Linked DNA regions of Drosophila melanogaster. The protein of the gene in region 2 purifies or fractionates together with the protein of the main gene of each other region. This does not show direct contact. Each region holds a gene or a part of one and is shown on either strand. Other genes may lie near its edges. The genes, in order: sas and Ptp10D.

What was found.
Region 1: the proteins of Ptp10D (region 2) and sas purify together in Drosophila melanogaster (affinity purification with western blotting; one study listed by BioGRID). This does not show direct contact.

The regions. Positions count from the first base shown.
Region 1 is NT_033777.3:7,160,894-7,165,936, reverse strand, and holds the start of sas (stranded at second), read right to left. Parts: upstream 3,130-5,043; 5' UTR 2,897-3,129; intron 1,816-2,896; 5' UTR 1,578-1,815; intron 1,509-1,577; 5' UTR 1,417-1,508; coding exon 1,077-1,416; intron 1-1,076.
Region 2 is NC_004354.4:11,620,011-11,625,181, reverse strand, and holds the start of Ptp10D (protein tyrosine phosphatase 10D), read right to left. Parts: upstream 3,168-5,171; 5' UTR 2,997-3,167; exon of another isoform or gene 2,825-2,996; intron 1,430-2,824; exon of another isoform or gene 1,353-1,429; 5' UTR 1,080-1,352; coding exon 966-1,079; intron 1-965.

The DNA.
Region 1 (5,043 bases), on a different chromosome or scaffold from region 2:
CCACCATCCCAATGTTTGCTGTTAAATCTCATTAACTTCCCGTGGCATTTAGACCGGCTAAAAAAGGCCAGTCCCTTTTAAACAATGCATTCCCACTTGCCATGGCAACAACCTATGCTCAATCGATCTAGACCTGTGTGTGGCCTGCTAGACCTCGTTTTATCGAGTCATCAATGAATCTAGATGGAATAGTATCAAAACAATGAAAAACCAATTGAAGTTTTTACGACGGAGTGCTTGCCTCGTGAAGAGTTTGGTGTGCAACTGACATTAAGCCCAAACAACCTTCTAGATAATTATAAATCTGTTACAGCCAAGAACTCGGCAATGGAATTGCCCGATTAATCTATTTTGCAAAAGGTACGTGTGTGAAAGTTAATCATTCCATCTCAGGTGATCTGGTTAAACGAATTTCTCCAGTTATCCTAATAACCTAAATGTGAATGTGTTCATTCAACAGAATTACAAAAAAAAAAAAAAAAATCTAATCTGATTTATTATTTTTTATTTTATATTAAGTATCAATTGTATCGAAATAGAAGTATAATTCAATTTATCTTGAGTATCTTGGGTGTAGTACGAGTAGAATATATTAAGATTTAATTAAGTTCATTCACTTGTTCTAGCACGAATAATAATTTCTCGTATAATTGGTTTCCGAGATTGAGCTTGAGGGCCGGAAATTTTAATATTTTCCCTTTAATATGCCGCGTAATTAACTAAGTAATTCAACAGGAAACCGCTTATGTATATCTTCAAATATTCTTCCATCCATTAATAGTCAAACAATTTCTCTTGTTCGCTCCATTTAACCGAATCGGAAAATAATTATGGAGAAATGCCGTACAAATCGAAACGAAATGGGTAAAAAAAAGGGCGGACCAGAAGTCACGCACCGGCACGGCGTTAATTGGTGGCTCAGAGAACGAGATTTGATTACGGCGCAGAGAGCACAGCGCGGCTAGGCGGGATTAAAGTGTCTGGCCGGAGATCGGGATGAGATGCCCCAGCTATGCGAGCGTCGTCGCGTAGATGCCGTCTATCTATAATTTTCATGGCTTTCGGCTTGGACTCACCAGTTTCGGTCGCATTGGATTTGTTGGCCGCCTCAGTTGTTGTCGTCGTGGAAGTCGTTGAACCATCCGCCGCCTCGGTGGTTATGCTGCTGATGCTGCTGCTTTGTTCTGCGGCAGTTGTGGCTGGAGTGGTGGTGGCTGCAACGGCGTCTGGGGCATCTGTTGTGGTATCCAAAGGTGGCATCGTTGTGGCCGCTGCGTCTTCGCCTGCGGGCGCAGACGCCGCACGCTCAATTTGAATGCCAAGCAAAAGTAATCCGCAGAGAGTGGCCAGGCACATTCTACTCCACTTGATCGTGGATTGGCCGCCGGAGGCTTTTCTTCTTCTACACGTTTGCATTTTGGTTTATGTTTGTGCTCCGTCTTTTTGGCTTTTCCTCTTTGATTTTTCTCACACGTTTGCACTTGTTATTGTTAATTTATAGTAATCTGCTATAAATATGGAATTAAATAAATTACATGCACTTTTAAACGTTTCGAAGGGTCTCGATAACTCATTACCTACTTTTGTTCACTAGTTATTATTTAGTTTTCTCTTTTGGGGTGCGGGATTTTCTTATGCGGTTATTTTAGTTCACACGACATCTGTGGCAGCGGTTTCTGTTATTTGTCATTGACTCGCTTTGGTAACCCCAAATGCTGTCATTTCCGTTGAAAGTCGGTTGAATAACGATCTCTCAAGTGTCAACTCAAGTCTATATTTTGCCAGCCGATTTGTTGAGTGATTTGTTAGGTCGCCCTACGCGGAAATTGGAAAGTTGTTAGCTTGAAAATAGGGGTGGCTTACTCTTGACTCAATCAATCAAAAATAATATGTGAGTTAATTAAGCTACGAAATAAAAGTATTAGCTAATTTTTCCAAATACGCCGCATATCTAAAGCATTTCCTATGTCACACATTTATGTAATGACCAATTTAAGTGTGAAAGCGTAAACATCTTCGATGCCACTCACGCAAGTTCGTTTCCCAAGTCTTTTGTTTTATAAAGTTTCGCATAGTTTTGAATGTGTCCGAATTTTTGAAAACCTATGTAGATTTACGATACGTAAACCCTATTTAGCATATTTCATTTAGATTTACAACTTCTGTACCTAAGCCTAGAGCAGCTCATAAATATCTTTCATTTTTTTAAGACTACGCCGCCAGCACAATGTTTACTTCTCACCATTCAAATCAGAAACTAGGCAAATAAACCAGCTTGCCAAAAACAAAGGCTGCCAATTGGGCTCTAAAAAAAGATATACTGTTTATATGCAAGGCAGTCGATGCTCATGCAACTCGCTACAATGCAACGCCAGCAACAAAAAACCCTAGACCCAAATTGCGATAGCAAAATATTTCAACCGGTTCCAACGGCAGCAGCAGAAACTGCAACTGAAAACGGCTGCAGACCGCAGAATTTGCTGCACGCCTTTTTGGCCATATTGGTACGAAGGCAATTAGACAGCGTGCGGTTCTATTTATTCCATATCTGCTGGCAATTGTTAATATTTCTTTTGGCTAACATCTAGTGATGTCATTGTAAAAGTTGATAGCTATTTGCACTGACATTTCGCATTTCACATTTCACTCTCACTCCTTTTTTGTAGAAATGGCAAATGGCAGAAAGCAAACAGCGAACAAGCGATTCGGAGCTGGAGGGAGAAAACGTGTTTTCGGTATTTCCAATGGAATGTTTTCGGTCGTGGTTCTCTTTTCTTCTGCTGGGCCGTTTATTTCACTACCAGATCTTGTGTTTGTTTAATAAGAAAGCAAAGATTTGCATAAATCACAACCGCACACACACGCAGGCACGCTTAAAACGAAGATTAGCACCAACCCGGCGAGAAATAGGTATAGGTATTGGTATATATCTCCTCTTATCTGGCCACGTTTGTGGGCAGCGCGGTTTATATGTATATATAAATCGTTCGCAAAGTAATGCGATCGCACTCGGCCAACCGCTCCGTCTCAAGCACGACCACCAACTGATCTCTCCGGCGGCACGGATCTTGGCTGGTAGCGTTGCCAACTCACCACGGTCTGCATCTGCAGGCTGCCAACATGTAACTGGTTTGCTGTTGCTCTCCGGCCAACTCTTAGTTGGCTCTCATCTGGCTGGCTCCTTCTCGCGCGTCAGCTGAGCGCAACAGGTGAGACCGTGCACGTAATACATAATACCCATTACCATTACCCCGTGGTTGAATGCTCGCTCTCACCCACACTCAGGTGTGTCTAGGCTGTTGCTGTCTGCCAGTGTGGGTGTAGTGAGCGAAAGGCCCTCTCTAGAAGTCGTTGGATTCGAAACAAGACGACCATGATGCATACACAAGACTCAAAGACGGAGTTTTTTTTTTTCAATTTGGCAAGGCAACTGCAATAGTCGATTCCTTGACAAGTGAACTCAGCGCGATCTATTTGGACTGTCCAATTGGATGGCGAAAAACTCAATCCCATTGAAAAACCCAGGCCAAGCCGAGTTGGCATTCATCGTTCCGATTACGCCTACCTTCGGTTTCTTTCTTCCTCGACTTCTTTGTCTGACTTTTTGAAAGAGCACAAGCGTAGATTCGTATTAGCGGCCCTGCATCTCCATACTCGTAGATCCAGAGTGTTCATGAGTCAGGGATGCTTGGGGTCACAGCGGCACTAAGAGATTAATCCCATTTACAGCTTTCGTAAATATGATTAAATAAAGAAATTCTATGCTACTTCGAAAGAGTGAAATGATAAGTGATAAGGTGATACCTTATCACCCCTATTGTAGGGTACATTGAACACTCGTGAGTGATAAAAATGATTAGTATAAGGATAGCATTAGTACTATATTATATTATATTATGTGAAATAATTACTATAATCCCTAAATGTTTGGTGTTCTAATAATATTTAACCAATTACTTTGGGATAAGTAAAACTAGAGATAAGATAAGTACGCCGACGCTATTAAAACCCAAAAACTAGTCGAGGTCAAATCGGTTTCTATAGAGGAAAGTACGATATATGTATATATAACTACATAAAAGTTATTTTTACTGCGATACCCGAAATATTAAATAAAACTAGAAAGATTCATGAAATTCCAATATCTATTAGCAAACCCAAATAACCGCCATTCCGAAGGCCTTATCTGCGGAGCTGCTCCCAAATTCATAAATCCACCGATCACTGACTGATCCACCGCCATCAAATGCCATCGATGCAAATATCAATTCTCCACTTGGGATGCGAGACGCGCCCAGAAACCGTCATCACACATCAATGGCAGCAAGTTGGCCAACCGTCATTAAAAAGGAAATGTGTGTCTGAAGAACTCAAATCTAATCAAATCAAATCATATCCAACTCAACTCTCAACTCTCTGCTCGCAGACGTCAAAAAGTATCAAATGTGCACACAGTTTCTATGTTATTGGGGCTGCTCTTGTGGTTGCATACATTAACGTGCAAACATCAGAGAATAATGCAGAAATGCGCTTTTTTTGGTGTTGCACAAACACGGCCAAAGTTGCATTGTCTCCCTTTGTTTATACATACATATATTTTGTCTGGGGCTTATCGCACCGTCATTGAGAAGCCGCTAATGCTAATGCTAATAAAATACAGGCGAACATAAAAAGATAATAATAATAACAATGCAACTTCAGTTTATGCTCACAGTTTTTGAATGGAGCATTTCTCAATGTATGCAAAGGAAAAGAACGCTGCAAGAAAACGGAAACTACAAGTAGTGTCTTTTGCATAAAATGCACAACATATGAATACTAAAGCATTAGGAATTAAGAATTAAAAATTAAGAAATATAAATTAAGCAAAAGAAAAGAAGACTAGAAGTGTTGTAAAAAATTCCAAAGTTGCATACTACCAATGGGTCTTCCACTGATAGCCAATTATCTAGCTACCAAATGGCCACAGACCTAAGCACCCACTTCCTTGCATCGTTGGAATGGGACCTGGTAAACCTGATACTTGTGTGATTTGATTTACCC
Region 2 (5,171 bases):
GTAGCACCGCATCGATGCCCTATGAAAACCCCTATATTCAGATATTTACCCATAAAGTATAAAGTTTATGAAAATTGAATTCGTGCAAAAGTGCAACAGTGAAAAACCTAATTAGGAAAATTGCCAGCCTTATCGATTGCATCACTCAGCTGAGTTGCACACATCGAGGAATCGGCAATGCAATTACTTATTATGCAACACAGCTCGAAGTATCAATTAAAAATGCCAGGCATGCAAAGTATTTAGACAAATTCCTTGAAACGAAAATATAACTATCTGTTAAGTTTGTTATATTTAATTATTCTGAGTGTACAGGGTATAAATATGTCATCATCTTCTGTTAAATGCATTCTACTTCATATCTGCACAGCACACGACTTGAGATGCAAAATGCAAAATCTTGTTCGGTTATTGTTTGTTACTCTTGCTTTTGTTTGTTGTTTCCTCAAGGTCTTTGATCGGATTGGAGTTTGTTTGTTGCTTTGTTTGTTTGTTTGTTTTTAGTACTGTGTCCAGTGAGGCAAATACATTCGCATAAACAATGGCGAAAAGCAAACACGATGCGAAATAATTGAATTTAATTAACATGGGAAAGACCACAGACAAAAGTGACGAAGACGATGATTTCCATGTGGGCGGTTTAATTCGAGGCGGGGGCGGGGTCGTCACAAATAAATAATTAAATAACTTCGGACAATGTTTGCAGAACCTTGTCGTTTCGATAGCCCTCGAATTTAGAAAGTTATTTGTGCACATTTCGAGGTTATTGTTGTTTATCATATCTTTTGAACTCCTATCTAATTTTGCATATTTCTCTTGTATTGATGTATCCTGAATAATTATTATTATTATCCTGAATAATCGTTTCTCCCAAGCTAAGATTCCGAAACGGGTAATTCGACGGGCCTATAAATCCACCCGCTATTGTGTGTTTTGGCCATGTTTTTGTTGGCCCTCTCGCTTACCTTTAGTGTAAATGCTGCCAGAAATGCTAAACTCCAGAGCCAGCGATGTTGTGGAACGGCTTTTTGCCTTTTGAGCCGGATTCTAGTAGTGGCTTTACTTAGCTGGTACAACATTTTGGGGCCGTCGTTTTGCTGTTTTCGTTGTTGTTTTCCTCTCCGCCTGGCTCTCTTTTGTTGCCTGCTTCTTGTTTTATTTGTTCCTATGTTGTTGTTGCTTTGGACTTTGCAATTTATTGTGCGATTTTTGAATTGGGCTTTTCGCTAGTTTCTTTCGAATTCGGGCATTTTTAGCGCGAGTTTAGTCTTTACTTTGATTAAATGCATTGTTTTCACAGTTTTCCCGTTAGTGTGGTGAAATTTTGTAAATTTTTATCCTGAATCCAATTGCTTGCAATTTGTTGGTTTAATTTGAATTGATTAAAACATATTCTTGTTTTGTTTTTGTTTGTTTTTTATTTTGTGATCTGCAAGAGAGTATGAATTAAAAATAACTGAAAGAGTGATCGCAAGAGGGAGACAGCTAGATAGTGCCGCTGTCCTGCTCTCTACCTGCTCTGCTTCCTCTTCTGCTTATCCAACACTTTGCGCTTGCGCCGAAAGCTTCAGTTCCTATTTTTTCATATTTTTCTGCGACTTGTTTCTATATTTCTGCACAGTGGAACTAGGCAAATGCAAATTTGATTGAACATTTGAGATTTAAAAACCACTGTTAAGACTTTGCTTAATAAATCAATATCAATTATTTTACTTATCTAGCAGTAAAGTATAATATTGAAATACCCGTTCTACTTAAGTTTTCATTCCTGGAACTGTGTGATTAAGCAATGCATTAAATTCATTTAAATCTAATTCGCAGACAAGTGCTAATTAATTGCACTGTCTTGTGCAGTTGCAAAAAAATACTGCTGATCAATAATTTAGCCTGCGCTGACGTCATTGAAATATTTAAAATATCGCAGCCAGCAAAAAAACCAAATAAATATGAAGAACAAATAAAACTAAACGTCTGAAAACCAGTTTTGCGAAATCAAAACGATACACGGCACAAAATTCAAATTGTATTGACAAGTATCATATCTTCTGGAAAATTAAAGATGTTGTCCTTGTATCTTTTGAATAGACTTGTAATGAATTGGTAATCCTGCTGTAGGACTAATTTAATTTAGGAGTTCCCTTTTAAGCTACTCTAATTTTGTTCTGTGTATGTTTTGTTATTGTTGCACTGTCTTGTTGTTGCTTTCTGCGCTTGGCAACGTTGTCATGCAGAAAAGACCTTCAACTTTGTTGCAAAGAGAGGAAGACAGAAGAAGAGCAGAGCAGATTGATTTGATTGATCTTTTTCCTTCTGGTCGAGAGAGAAGAGCAAGAGAGAGAGAGAGGGAGAGAGGGAGAGAGAGAGCTTTATGATCTCGGCACATAAAACACAAAAACAAAACAAGTTTTTAAAAACGTATTTCTTCACCTCTTATTTATTGTTAAATGTGGGACAAGTTTTTTTAATGCGACTGGAAATTTTTCGCAACTTATTGTCAGCATTAATAGAGATTTTATGAAACAAGCCAAAATGATCCCCCAAAATTGAATGCCGTCAGAGAAACAGGAAGTGGAGAAATTTGCCGCACAACAACAAAATATTCAAATGAGGCTGCGTGTGAAAGAGAGAAAGCAGCGGCATGCCAAAAAACGAAATAATACATAAAAAAGCTGCGTAGGTGTTGCTTCTACCTCTCTCGCTCTGTGTCTGTCTGCCCCCCTCGGCCAACATTTTTTGTTATTATTATTGCACACACATACACACACACACACAAACAACTCTCAATTTCTGCTTTTACTTTAAGCTTTATTTCAGCATTTCTTACGTTTTCCACTGCGTTTTTCTCAAATTTTGCTCATTCGGCACGCCACTAAAAAAAACCAAAACATTTAAATATATACACCGTTAATTTGTGTATTTTATTTACTTCTATTCTGTTGTTGTCGTTGGTTATAAAAAAAATAACAAAAAACAAACACAGGCGCACGCACACTTACACGTACACGCAGGCACGCGACGCAAAGCACAGACACAAGAAAAAAGCGGAACGGACAATCGACAAATTTTGCGTTTTTCGAGCGTTTGCTTTGCGGCCCGCCTTAACAGATTTCGCGTCCGTACCGTCCGCACTCCGGTTCGCTCTTCACCACACTGAATTGGAATCTGATTCAAATCGGATTCGAGTCCGGAGTCGAATTTGGAATCGGAATTGGAATCGGAATCGGAATCGCCAACGCTCGTTTCACCTGTAGAGCTGGACAAATAATCGATGACCCAGCGATGGTATCGATAGGAACCTGCGCGGCTTCTATGTTTCGCTTGTAACTGTCAACTATTTAAAAGCAGAATTAACCATTACTTTGCTGCGCGGTTATAAAATAGTTAAATACAATTAAATTTGTTGCACTTGATTCTTTTTAACGTGAACCAAGCATTGCGGCAGTAGTACTTCGGCCATTACAAGTCCGAGCTCCGTAATTCTTATTATTCAATTACTCACACAAAATGTTAGTCCAAATGGACATCTGAGCCATGGGCTTAGTGAGCCAAGGCGATAGGCTGTATATGTGTACCCAGACAGCATGCACAGCGAAATGTTAACAAAGAAAACATTTAATATTTTATTATTTATCCCGCGCAAAACCGATCTGACCAAACTCAAGGTGTTTTTTGTTTCCGAATGCAATCGATTATAATCGATAGTTCAAACTCACCTCTGAGGGGAGTTAATTCGCCGTTATTCGGCTGCAATGCGTGCGCGCAAGGCAGATATAATGTGGCGCGCATTTCAAATCAGCTTATAAAAAAGTGTAACATTCCAACTCCTGAAAATAGGAAGTAACTTCATTGATTGAAAACACTTCCATCTTCTTTTATATAATTTATTATTTATTAAGGTTTCATTTGCATGAACTGTTACTGGTTATTATAATTAATTATTGTTAATTACAGGCTATGTTTTAATTGCTAGAGATTAGCAAGTTCTAAAAATTACATTACACATTATTATTCTTATACAGAGTATACCTCTTGACATTTGACATTACAGTTAAAACTAAATTACTAAAAAAAAACAATTCAAACTTTCATTTTTATTTGGACATATAACAACGCAAGGAAAACAAACAAAAATTAAATGAAAGGATAAGCCAAAAGTGTTTAAAGAGCACAACTCGTTTGAACAAACACTGAACGATTCGCTGGGGAATTAGCATTGGACTTTTAATTTAATTACACACTAGACAAACCGAGTTATAATTAAAAATACAAACAAAAAATTGAGCTAAACGAAAAGTTAATAGCATATATGTATGCATACATTTATAGCTAGAGGAATTTCGCTATAAAACAAAAAATAACGAAACGTGTTCCCCCCCGCCTCCCGCCTTCTCTGCGCCCATCACCAACCGCCGTTCCCCCAAACCCCCCGAAACCACCCACCGCCTCATATTTACCACTAGAACCACTTGGCCGAAAAAAAAATCATATATTCCCTCCGATACGCCGGTGATAAGAACGCAACGCCAAGGACAATGGCAAAGGCTTTGATAACAGGTCGGAGCGAGATGGGAATATGTCTCGCTCCCTTTCTGTGAGTATTGAACTACAGCCAAACTTCGCTAGTACGAACTTCAAAAACACTTTGAAATTTCAACTTAATCATATTTTGTCCAGTAGACATTATAGAAGTGTAACATAGATCAATTAAAATGATTATATTGTATTTAGCGGATTGGATTTTGGATGACAAACTTTTTTTTTAATTTTGAACACATTTGTAATAACTACAAAGTTTATAAGGATATGGATTTGGGGTATGCTTATATGCTTTGTAAAGTTCCCAAAATTAAAACTGTTGAAAAATAAAGCTGCGCCTGGAAGTGTTTTTATAGATTACAAAGGGATATCGAAGGAGATTTGTGATATAAATATATATACATAAATATATATATATAAAAATAATATGCTATTCTTCATAAAATAAAAAACCTTTAATAAAGTCTCCAATTCTGAGACTGAAGAGTTTGACTTGGATTAGTTTGACTGTACATATGTAGTCCTCTTTCTTTCTTCGAGCGAGACGGCAAAACTAAAAGCGAGCGTTTAATTTCCATCGATTGCAACATCCGTTTGTTTAACTATTAATGAGTTGTGTTTAGCACGTTCTAGAC